Linked DNA regions of Caenorhabditis elegans. The protein of the gene in region 3 purifies or fractionates together with the protein of the main gene of each other region. This does not show direct contact. Each region holds a gene or a part of one and is shown on either strand. Other genes may lie near its edges. The genes, in order: R160.10, C11D2.3 and Y65B4BL.1.

Region 1 (3,124 bases), on a different chromosome or scaffold from region 3:
TTCGTCACTCGCTGCTCATCACGGGGCAATGCACAGATTGAGTAGATGGAAGAAAATTGGCAGATGCTATATGCGCACAAAAAAATGTTGGAAAGGGAACATGAAAAAGTGGTGAAGAGGGCAAGGGGGATTGGAGGCGAAGAGCAAATACTGTGTAAAAAACACATCAAAAACATAAACCTCTATTCTTAATTGATTGAGAGACTTGCAAGTATGTACTGGCCGAGCCAATAATCTATGAGTGCATAGATTCAAACTCAGTAAACAATTACAATTTGAATTTGCATGAGTCGCTGCTCAGTGTGATACGGAGCCATTGAATTCTCTGAGCAGCGACGCTTTTAAAACAAAATAATTCGAGTTTGTTGATATATAGAGAATGTTTTTGTAATGTCTGGAAATAATTCTATAACTGGATACTACACAACAGTACGAAAAAAAGGGACACATGACAAAAACCTATTGATCTAATTTTCGTATATATTGCAAATTGGGGCTAAATGGAATCATTTTGAAATTGCCAATTTATTCAGTAATAACTTTATACATATAAAAATTAAACACAAACTTATGTTCTCTCTAGGTTTCAATGATAATTATGACAATTTATTGAAATGTGTGGTATGATTATGCGGGTTATAGCAATTGGGAAAATAATACAATAAGACACTTAAACGCGTGAATTGTTGATAGGAGCTCGTGACAGCAATGGTAGTCTTCCTGGTAATGGGTCGTTAGTTGTTCCAAGTGATGCTAGGGGTATAGACCCTTGAGCGTTCTCAGCGTCCTCATCTCCTTCCAGCTCTGGCCGGCAGCAACTTCCTCTCCGTCCACAGCAACCGTACTTTTGCATGATGTAGTCTACCAAAAAACCAATGCTGGAAATTCAAAAATGTTCATTTTGTTTTTTAAAAGACTCCTGAAAACTTTGTTCTCACCTGAGACACGAGAGGACAACAACCAAAAAAATGAGCATCGGCGGAACATGATATTTGATTGTTTGAGCTGTTTCCATCTGACAAATAATTCGGAATGTTGAACAAAAAATGAAACTTATAAATATGAGACAAGGATTAACAACCTTGTGGGATATAGTAATAGAAGATAAATCGGTAATAATTTAAATACGTTTATTGGTGTAAAAAAGTAATGGGCAATCGGTAGGGTGTATCAGGAAACATCTATGATTAGCAGTACAATTTCTGAAATTAATTCCCATTAAAAAATTTGAAAAAAATAGATGACAGCAACCTCTAAATGGTAGCTTCAACTCGGATGACTGTGGTTCGAGCAATGTGTTTATGCATGTTTTGAAACACCTCGGCAATGAAGTACCAAATTCTAAAATTTTGGATAAAATTGAATTATTTTTTGAAAGTGGAATAAGAAATTACATGACCACCGCCGAAGTCAAACCGATAACTATCAAAAATCCAATGGTCACTAAATTCTGGACGTCCATGGTAAAGTTTGAGTTGTATAAAAATGAGGTATCTGAATCTTGAAATGAGATGTGTGCGATATATTTTTCAATCGCCGATAATGAGAATTGAAATGTTTTATAAAAGCGTGTACATGTATGCATTTTAGACCAGAATTTTTACTCCTCACACAGAAAAAAAATGTCTGACGAAATAATTAACACATGAATTACGTCAAGGTTAAATTTTACAATCATAAATATGGTTTAAGAAAAGTTTAAGAATTCCAGTAATCCGAAATTTGGGCAATTTCAGCCAGTTCCAAAATTGCTCACTGCAGCAAATTCAAAAACCAGCAATTGCTCAACTTACCAATTACCGCACACCTCTGATCAAACCAAAATAATAGTTATGGTTTGGCAACCTAACAATACCAAAATATTAACCAAAACGGAAGGGCACGCTAAAATTTATCCACAAAAAAGTTATTCGAGAGCTACTAAAAAGAAATAGTCTATACTACTGTATTTCAATTTTATCGTTGTTACAAATTATGAATACATATGGTGCATGTTGATCGTCTGTAATAAAATTTTGAAAAAATTTACGAACATTTTTCTTACTTTAAATAGGAAGAAGTGGAACAGTGTCTATGATCACTTTGTTGGCAGCATATACTTCCAGCCCATGCATTTGCTCCAGTTGCTCCACGTCAAGAGATACAAATCCTTGTGGACGACTTGGCTCCTCTTCATCCTCAAATCTTTCGAAAAAACGGGGCTGTGGGAAGAACCATTCTCTGATGAGAGTTATGAATAGGATGATGCTATAATTTCCATAACTATTTAAAAATAATTTCAGATCATCGTCACTTACAAAAATATTGACCAAATTAGGAGCAAGATGAGATAGATGCATTTGATGATGTCCATGTTGAAACAAGTCATGCAGGTTTGCGAAATAGTAATTGAAACTAACAAAAAGTTAAGAAGGATAATTAATTAAATATACAGGTATACTTATTGGTTTCAACCAAAATCGATATGAAAAATTGTTCAGAAATTGACATATGTAACATCAACATTCATTAACAAAAAAAGGAGATCAATAATTAATCTGTGCAGTGCTAACAATGACAAATGTCTACAATAGTATTGCATTCAGACCTGAAAAATATATGCTCTCAGTTTTGAAAAAAATATATGTTTCCCCGAAATTTCCTGCCTTTCTACTTATTTTCTCACTGACAATGAACATGTTCAAAAATAAGGAAAAAATCCTTAATAAATTTTATAAAAGTTTAGAGAAACGACTTAAAAATACGAAGAAATTTAAAATAAAATTGCAAACTAATTCTTAAATCATTAACAAAAGTTTTGAAAGTTTTTTTTAGTACTGGCATTTTAAGTTTTAAAAATAATGAACCCAACTTTACTGTACTTTTGTCATTTACGATCCATTCTTTAAAATTTTAAGAGATTAATTTATGGATCCTTTTGATTGCAAATCAAAATGTATCTCGGCATACTCTTTAAAATTTTTTCAAACTTACTTCCCTACATTGCAATATAAACTTTGTTATACAAAAAGTTATAATTAGGAAATTAAAAGTTTTGTACGTTTGCAAAAGTATTTGCCGTACATCCCTACCGTACCCAAAAAAAAAATAATACTTACTTTTAATAATTTTGTCACAAGATTTC
Region 2 (5,228 bases), on a different chromosome or scaffold from region 3:
GATCAAATGCAAGGATCACATTGAATTGCTCGCCGATCATCTGGGTGTCGTGCGATTTGTTAAAACACGTAACACTGATTACATTCCAACTTTGAGAACACTTCACAAGTATCCATTCATTCTTCCACATCAACAGGTTGGTTATAAATTGATTATTTACCTGGTTCAACATTTCCATTTATTGATGAAAATTCAAATTTCAGGTCGACAAAGGTGCCATCAAATTCATCCTGAACGGATCTTCAATAATGTGTCCTGGATTAACATCGCCAGGAGCTAAACTCACTCCTCTCGTACCAAAGGATTCAGTGGTTGCTGTGATGGCTGAAGGAAAGCAACATGCGTTGGCAATTGGTTTGATGTCAATGAGCAGTGAGGAAATTCAATCTGTGAATAAAGGAAACGGAATTGAAAATCTTCATTATTTGAACGATGGGCTGTGGCACTTGGCTGAAAAATCGTTGAACTGATGTGCTCGAATTCCCGGTCGTCGTGCTCTTTATCAGACTTCCAATAATTTGAGATGATCTTTATTTTATATGTCCATTTTGGGATTTAATTTATATTTTCATGCACTTTCTTTTGTTGTATCTTTTCCTTTTCCATCTCGATTCTCATAAAATTTCCAAAGTTTTCCGTCGAGTTTCTTGATTCTCTTTTCTTCCCTTTCAATACGCCACGCTATTTCTTCCAGTTGAGATTCCTCATTTTTGCGAACTTGCCTGCAATTTCTCAACATCAGAGCGAAACAAAACAAACTTCACTTACTGATTCGCGTGATGAGTCTGTCGTAATGCGTGAAGTTGAGTTGTCAAGCTGCTCAACTTAAAGGCTTTCTCCGAGAAATCATCGACTAAAACCTGAAAAGAATTGTCCAGAGCACATTGATACTTCTCGGTTACTTCATTGCAAACAGCCAAGCATCCAAGAGCCTCACTGATTTTATTATTCTGCTGCTCAATGTTCCTGGAAAAATTATTTTTGCATTAAAGTACACATGAGCAAATATTATCTCGCTAGGTATTTGGCGGGAAAACTGAAAATTCGAGCGATTTCTAAATATAATTATTACCATTTTCTAATCATTCTCCGTCTATTTTGATGTGTTTCCTGCTGGCCTAAACATGCATTTATAACAATTAATTCGGCACGAAAATCATTTAACAAACAACAGAAAAAATAACAAAAATGTTTGATAGCTGACAAAATCGGCAAAACTAACTGAAAAGTTTAAATTTACAGTCTTGGCACCTAATACGAGACCCAACTGTGGGAGGCGGGGCGGTTTTAATTGGCTGTGGAGCGCGTTTCCACATCGATTTCAAAGGGAACATTCTGCTCCTTTGAAATCTCTTCTGCGTCCCCATAATAACTCACAATTCAATAGCATCAAGAAGTCCCCGCTTCTCGAAATAGTTTGTTCTCTGAGCATGTAGATTTCCCTGGATTTTCGCAAATCTAAATTGAAATTTCTGAAAAGAACTTTCTCAAACCAGGTACCGGATATCTCGTCGCGATACTACAGTAATCTACAGTTCATCATACTCCGGCAACAGTATGATCGCTATGAGATATTATCGAAAGAATACGATCGCACAATTTTCTCATAATTTATTTTTGATTTACCTTGTTGACTAGGCTCCTCCTCTTCCTTTGACAAGACAGCCACAACAAAATAACAACGGCAACAAGATCAACAGGTAGATCAAAAATATATTATGAGAAATTTGTGCGATCGTATTTTTTCGATAATATCAGGGAAGTGATTATGTTCAGTAATTTTTGTAATTTATAAATTTTGGAAGATTTCACAAAAGCTATTAAATAACTTTTTTGCGGGACAAGAGACTAATTGCAAATTTTTTAAAGCTTTTGTTTATCTCAACCGGTGAAACAGTGAAAAAGCTTATGAAACATTTGTGAATTTTTATACTTAAAATTCTCATCAATTCAATCTCACAACACGAATATGTGTAGAATTCGAAGCCGAAAAAAATATTTTTTTTAATTTAGCCGCCTTAAAAATTCCAAAGATAAATTCCAAGAATAGTCGCGGACTTCGTGATGAAAAAAAAAATTTACTGTTTCAGAACTTTAATATCTTTTCATATAATCAGGATAAAACATTCAACCACCATTTTTTGGAAGATCCTATAGAATACAAATCGAAAAAAATGTTGTTTAATAGTAAACTTACGAACTGAACGCTCTGCTCAAATAGTCAACATCGTCCATTTTTGGTTTTTCACTGATATAGTTTGAAAAATATTGATTATCAATGCACAATGACGGTGTAATTGTTGGAATCGGAGGAAGTGATGGTCCAGGATCAGATGGTATGGGTTCATCTTCAGAAGGGACAGAGGTTACTTTCTGTAATATGAAAAGTTTCTAGTTTTCCATAGATATTTTTAATTACTCATGTTGTGGTTATTCTTCACAATAAACAAAACATTCAAGCGGGTCTCACAGCGAAATAAATTTTTTAAATATTAAACATTAAGTTTTCAGTCAAAAAATGTACTGTTACGTTGAAATGTTACTATTATTCAGATAACTTACTTGACCTTGTTTCCCTTTTGACTGAATAGAAGGTAACTTCACATATGAGATCCTCCTCGTTGATTTCTGCCATCTCAGTGTTGATGAAGAAGCACCAGGTTTGTTAGAACCTTCAACAAAATTTAATTTTATCACAGGTCTAAAGAGAAAACGTAAGAAATATAACTTTCTTACCTGCAATCGATGGGAACATTGAAACTTTTGAAAAGCAAAAATAAACTCAAATTTTGAGCAACATTTTGAGCAGCAGTGAAAGGTTACTGAACCAGTTTCAAATTTTATTTAGTGTCATGGCATGGCTCTGGTTGAGTTGCAAAATTGTCCAGTGAACTGGAAGCATAATTGGCAGAAAATAAAGGCTTGAGTGGAAAAAAAAATTAAAAAGTCAGGGCCAAAAGTGATTATGAATACGGATTTTTTGAAATTGCACGTTCATATATGACGTCACGCCTCTGCACGCCACTTTAAAATTCACGTATTTAGACAGCTTCAGATACCCACCAAAATGAGAGACACAGTCTCCTCCCAGCTTCTTCCTCTGCAAAACACCGAACAACAATTTACAAAAACAACAATTTACAAAAAGTTGCCGGTGTAGGCATTAGGAAGACGAATATTAGGGCCAGGAAAACGTCCCGTTCTCATCAAAGGGGATGTCTAGTGAACAACAATAAAACTGAAAATATTCGAATAGATTAAATTTGGTATCATTTGGAGTTATTATTACTATAAATATGAAGTACTTGAATCACTACAATAGTCGCATAAAAACTGAGATATGAATAAGTCTTTTTACATTCAACAATTGAATGTCAAATTACCATTCAATATTTGCTTTCTGGACATTAACCATGCACTTTTATTCACTGTCATGAGTTTTCTCTCGTGATATTATTCACACAGCTTTTGTCCCTATCAAAAGAAATACGCGACTGTCACATTTATCTTTGTTTTGTCTATTTGCAAGTCAAATAAGTGTTCTACATTGATGCGCAGACACGAATGTTGGAATTAAACAGTTTTACAGAAAAATGGTTTACCTATAGGCTTACAGGCTATTATCTAGTCCTTGAAAATTAACGGCATCCAAGATTTTTATTCAGACAGGTTTTATGTTAAAGAGAAATAATCTTTTTTTGGGTCTATGTCTACTTTGAACATTGAAAACCTTTGAAAGGAAAGTTATATGGACCATACAAATAAAAACTTATTTTTTTTCTAATCATTGTAAGACAGGTCGTACAATTGGAAACAATTCGATTTCACCGCACCTATACCGTGAATATGAAACGATTTTCGATATTTTATAAACCCCTGAAAAGAAACGTGTGATTACTCAAATCGTTCAGCTCCCTCATTTTTTTTCCGATTTTGCCATTTTCTTACTTTAAATTTTAAAGTTTTGTTTCGTTTCACATTTTCCGCAAGGCTATAATTTTACGAGTGATCTACCCACATATTCAACTTCTTGATAAAAAATGTATTTTGAATTTGTTTTCTGTCCAATTGACCAATTTAAATGCTTGAAACTCCTATATACTTTGCAAAAAAAATTAATGTTTTTCATACATCATAAAACATATTCCAAACTCAGTTGAGAGTTAAATATAGAGTTGAATTTTGAATTGAGATCTGGAAAAATTTGACGTCAGAGGCATCTTCTTGACAAAACGTCGCAAGTTCATAGCAAATTTTTGCAATTTAGAAAATTAATTCAATAGAAATTTAAAAAATGGTCTGAAAATCTTTAGAAATTTGTTGAAAATTTAAAGTGCTCAACAGTAGTTGCAAGAGTACGCTAACAAATTGGACCGATTTGCCGAGTTCTTTTTTTGGGATTCTTGTTGAAAAATGATTGCCGCAAATTTAAGTGATTTGATCTTTGTGATACAGTAACCCAAGACATATGTCTACGTTACTGACAGCATTGATTTGCATATAGTGTATAGAATATGCACAGTCTGAAAATAGAACTATTTTCTTTGAACTTTGTAAATCAAATTTAATTATCCTTTAATTATTATTTTTTTTTAAATTATAATTTAAATCCCTGTAATTTTTGTCGGTTTCAAGAGTCCCATATTACCATTTACACGCTTTCTTTCAATTGTCCATAATTATTCATGAATTTTATTTTCTCCGCCCATTCGCTTTTGCCCACTATACTCAGTTGATGTTTCCATTTTCTTTTGTGGCTGTGCCCTCTTATCTTTTCTCTTATTGCCGTCCTCCTTCTCCACAGTCGCCTCTCTTTTTTTCTAATTTCGTTGTGTGTTTTTCAAATATTTTTGAATGTGATTTATGATTTTTGAGTTAATTTTCTTGAAAAAGAGGTGAGAGAGAAGGCATTTGGAGCATTTTTTTATGGGGATATTTTTTCGAAAATACTAAAAACCACTTATTTATTTAAACATTGTGCACCAACTTACTCAACATACCTTAACTTACATTACATTTCCAAATTATTATAGGCATAGCTCCGACAAAAAGCGAGAACTTTTATGACTTTTCAAAATTTGAACAGCGAAAGGTCGTTTGTTTCTCTTTTTATGAGGCGTGCCAGGTGCAGCGAGAGAGAAGAAAGGAAACTGTAGATTATGAATCATTTGTAGATAAAAATTGACTTTTCATTCCGTTTTTTTTCCCGCTATTTTTTATTAAATATA
Region 3 (3,760 bases):
TCACTTCTTCCCCATCTTCATCTCTCCTTCTCTTTCCCGATCCGATCTTTTTTCCTTTCTTCCATTTTTTCTCGTTTTTCCTTTCCATTTTTTCTTCTCCTTCTTGTGTTTGATTATCCATCCTCCTTGCCCTTTCTCCTTGTTTCATTTTTCTTTATTCATTCGGATGGAATAGAGATATGGTTCCGTAAATTCATTCCAATACTAGAAGAATTAGTAAGACATTCGTAGGGGGGAAAATTCCGCGCAGAAAGCGACAGGAGGTTCGGGATTGGGTAATCGTCGGAAAAATGAAAAATCGCGCGCGCCCGCCCGCGCAGATGGGATATATACTAAATCACATGGGCAGCGACATGATATACGATGGATTGCGTGATCGATAGGCTTTTCAAGGAGGTACATTAGCACTGGTGGGCGTCGGGATCCTTGAAGGAACAACGATCTTTGAAGGAGATGACGAGGATGTTGTGAAATTTAATTGTGATATCATTCTATTATGTAATCCCTGGCCTAGAATATACATCATCTTTTAGAATTCTGGTCGGCTAGATGTTTTCGGGAAGTGCTTCTAAAGGATCGGCGCTGCCATGTATGTAGGAAGTGCTTATGCCAACCCCAATCATCTTCTCAATCTACTCCTCAGAAGTTCAGTTCTGCCAATCCGCACGCTCCACCTTCGTCGCCTATCCGTTTCTCATGCGAGTCTCGGGTCAAGGCAAGTGTGCGTGTCCTTCAGTCGTGAAGTCCTATTCATTTATTTTTGCTGCCAAAGTCCGAACAGTTTTTTCTAGCCGTGTCGGCAAAAGGGTTCTTATTGCGAATTCACCTCCTCCCCACTCGAGAAATCGCCCCCCCGCCGTCCTTGGTAAAACTGACCTAGAAAAATAAAAACAACACAAAGCGCCTCCCGCATCATCACGCGTATATATGTATATATATAAGATGGTAGGCGGGAAGAGGAATCGACGCAATATCGACTGAAGGTTGCGCAATCGAGATGGCTCTTCCCGGCACGGATACCTCCTCCTCGCGTACCAGGCACCCGCATATAGCTAAAGTTCTCCGCCCATTTCGTTACTTTTTTGTGCTTCCCATATCATCGCAGCAGCGCTTATGCCATTGCGCCCGACCCGATCCAACTTCTTATTCTTGTTCCTTAGCCTTCTCCCCCTCCCATGTCCTCCCGATATCCAAAAAGTGGGAGGAGCATGCCATAGTGAGAGGGCGGGGCCGGGACACACACAAGGCTGGCCCCGAGAAAACGAACAACACTTATGCCGAGGACAGTCTCGACAGTTGGTGGTCACCCCACCTGCGCCTTGATTACCCCGCCCGTCCGCGCCCGCCGGGCTAAAGTATTTTGTTTGCCATTCATGTTCCTCATTCGACGTTCATCATGCTTCTGTTATGCTTCTTGGTGTTGGTCCGGTTCCTTTCTCTCTCTCTCTCTTTCTTCCTTGTGGATCAGATGCCATTCCGCCTTTTTGCTAGATAAGCGCATATTCATCTCACTCTTCTTTGTTTTCAATTCAGCATTCTTTATATATCCAATATCCTACATCCTATATCCTCGTTCTCTCCTCATTTTCATTCATATGCCGATCCATTTGGTACTGGTGGTGTCGTTCTTCTTAGTTTCGCTTTCCAATTCTTTTCTAGACAATTCCTTCTATTTCCAGAAACTTTTTTCTACACAATGCTCCCAGACAGCCCATCCCCACGCGCTGCCCTTGCTCTCTCCGATCTTCAGCCACAAACCGGCGCCTCAACGTTCTCAATTGGCAGTGGATCAGGCAACTGGTAAGTCGAGTTCTTATGTAACTAGTAGGATGGTAGACATCGAGATTAACGATGTCTGGCATTCGTTACGTAACGAACGGGTTCTCCCGCCGACCATCGAAGCGCTTAAGCGCCGAGATTCTCGGCTTCATCGCACCCCGGTCTAGCAAGTTTTCCAATCCATCCCAAATTACAGGTCGACAAGAGGTGTTGGTGGAGTTAATGGTGATTACATGGACAAATCCGGCGGAGGAATGTTCGGAAACAGCAGAAACAACGTGAGTTATAAAAATATCTGGGGGGGGGGGGGGGGGGGGAAGTGTTGTTCTAGGCCAGGGACATTGAGAACCGCGTGATGAAGAGTACTTTTATCCGAATTAAATCATAGGCAACGAAAACAAGAATCAGGTTCTTGTGCTTTGCACACCATGTCGGAATATCCGTCTCAATCAAAACGAAAAAAGCCTAAGCTGGACCAAGTGTTAAATGCTTAAATGCCAAAAATGAACAATCTTTCAAATCACTTTCATCTTCCTGTAAATCAGAGAATCCTGAAGCGCTGGCGCGCACACTTACGAAAAGTGAAAGCCGATATATCAAGTTTATCACCTAGCGGGACTTCCATTGTCTCATTGTCTCTTGGCTATCCGCCCCACTTTCCCCCCGGATCATCCGCCCCCTTTAATCCAAGACTCTCGAACAGTTTCGCTTCATTCCAGGACCGATTCGCATTCGGCAACAACAGCTCGTCGTCCTCATCAGCAGGCTGCTTTTCATCGAACAATTCGTCAGGCGGACTTTTTTCCAGTAAATAAGTTAATATGTGAGTTTTTTTTGTGTACATTTTCTTCTTTTCAAGATCCATTAACATTTCAGAATGCGATCGGCAGCCGGTATTCTTATTCTAATCTCAATAATTATTCCCAGTGTATATAGTGAACCGAAGTTGCCCGATTGCGAGCAAATACCAAAAGTCTTGTGCTGTACCCAACGTGTCTTAGATAAATGTATGTCTGGTTGTATCGATTATGTCACTGAGAAATGCCCCCACAAATTGGAAAAATACGAGACGATCGATGAAGAGCCATCGACGAGAGCTCCAAAGAAGCAGGTGAAGCCAGCTAAGGCAACTAGCAACAGAGTTGTCGGAGCAGTTGAAGTAGACCATGAAGCCAAGGAGCAGTTCATCGACTCCAAGGATATCAGAAGAGCACCACGAGTCGGTGATGCCAAGCTTCTCAGCCAGGAGTACCCGATCACCGAGGTCACCGACGCCGATCTCTCCTCCGAGTGCGGAACCGAGAAGTCTCAGCCACCATTCTCACCATGCTTGTCCCGCAAGTCGGCCGACGACGTCTTCCTCTCCTGCTGTCGCCAACAGGTTCCATCCAACTGTCACAGCCTCTGCACCTACGAGCATCGTGAGCATGTCGCCGCTGAAACTCTGATCCAGGCGATCCAGCAAGAGCACTGCGATATGAAGGTAAGAATAGTTCAATCTTCCTATTGAGTTTTTTTTTTGAGTTTTTCCAAAATTCATTCTTTCAGTACTTCTCCAAACTGCTCTACTGTGCCAACCAAAACCGCGACAACCGCGCGTGCTGCTCCAACCTCGGCATGTCAAACGCGGAACTCGGCGTCGGCGATCGTTGCCTACGTATGTGCAACATCTCCCCGTCGGGAGACCGTGTAAGCTCTATGGAGAAGGAGGATCTCGTCTGCCTGTCCAACTGGAACGTCATCATGTACTGTGCCAGAGGTGGTCTTCGTACCATCAACTAGACCATCATCCCCGTTCTCTTCTCCCGTAATAAGCTGGCTCAGGTTGTTAATAATAATTCGCCGCTCGTCTTAATAATTTTCCATTTTCCAATCTCGTCCCCCCTTTTCAACACTACCACATTTCTCAGTGATATTCATCTGAACCGCCCGACATACATCAGTTCCTCATAGTACCTAACAGGGTTCAACAAACCCATCC

Evidence for each region.
Region 1: the proteins of Y65B4BL.1 (region 3) and R160.10 fractionate together in Caenorhabditis elegans (co-fractionation; one large-scale study listed by BioGRID). This does not show direct contact.
Region 2: the proteins of Y65B4BL.1 (region 3) and C11D2.3 fractionate together in Caenorhabditis elegans (co-fractionation; one large-scale study listed by BioGRID). This does not show direct contact.

The regions. Positions count from the first base shown.
Region 1 is NC_003284.9:4,366,498-4,369,621, forward strand, and holds R160.10 (uncharacterized protein), read right to left. Parts: upstream 1,018-3,124; 5' UTR 1,016-1,017; coding exon 939-1,015; intron 879-938; coding exon 671-878; 3' UTR 529-670; downstream 1-528. Other genes in the region: R160.4 (DUF4845 domain-containing protein), read right to left, coding at 2,046-2,247, 2,298-2,353.
Region 2 is NC_003282.8:6,149,964-6,155,191, reverse strand, and holds C11D2.3 (BLOC-1-related complex subunit 5), read right to left. Parts: upstream 3,380-5,228; 5' UTR 3,290-3,379; intron 3,239-3,289; 5' UTR 2,756-3,238; coding exon 2,737-2,755; intron 2,673-2,736; coding exon 2,563-2,672; intron 2,374-2,562; coding exon 2,198-2,373; intron 2,149-2,197; exon of another isoform or gene 2,128-2,148; intron 1,853-2,127; exon of another isoform or gene 1,828-1,852; intron 1,459-1,827; coding exon 1,378-1,458; intron 967-1,377; coding exon 769-966; intron 723-768; coding exon 569-722; 3' UTR 515-568; downstream 1-514. Other genes in the region: C11D2.7 (PUA domain-containing protein), read left to right, coding at 1-136, 204-470.
Region 3 is NC_003279.8:529,292-533,051, forward strand, and holds Y65B4BL.1 (uncharacterized protein), read left to right. Parts: upstream 1-1,677; 5' UTR 1,678-1,696; coding exon 1,697-1,800; intron 1,801-1,975; coding exon 1,976-2,057; intron 2,058-2,433; exon of another isoform or gene 2,434-2,498; coding exon 2,499-2,594; 3' UTR 2,595-2,602; intron 2,603-2,655; 3' UTR 2,656-2,656; downstream 2,657-3,760. Other genes in the region: dbd-1 (DB domain-containing protein), read left to right, coding at 2,657-3,262, 3,328-3,561.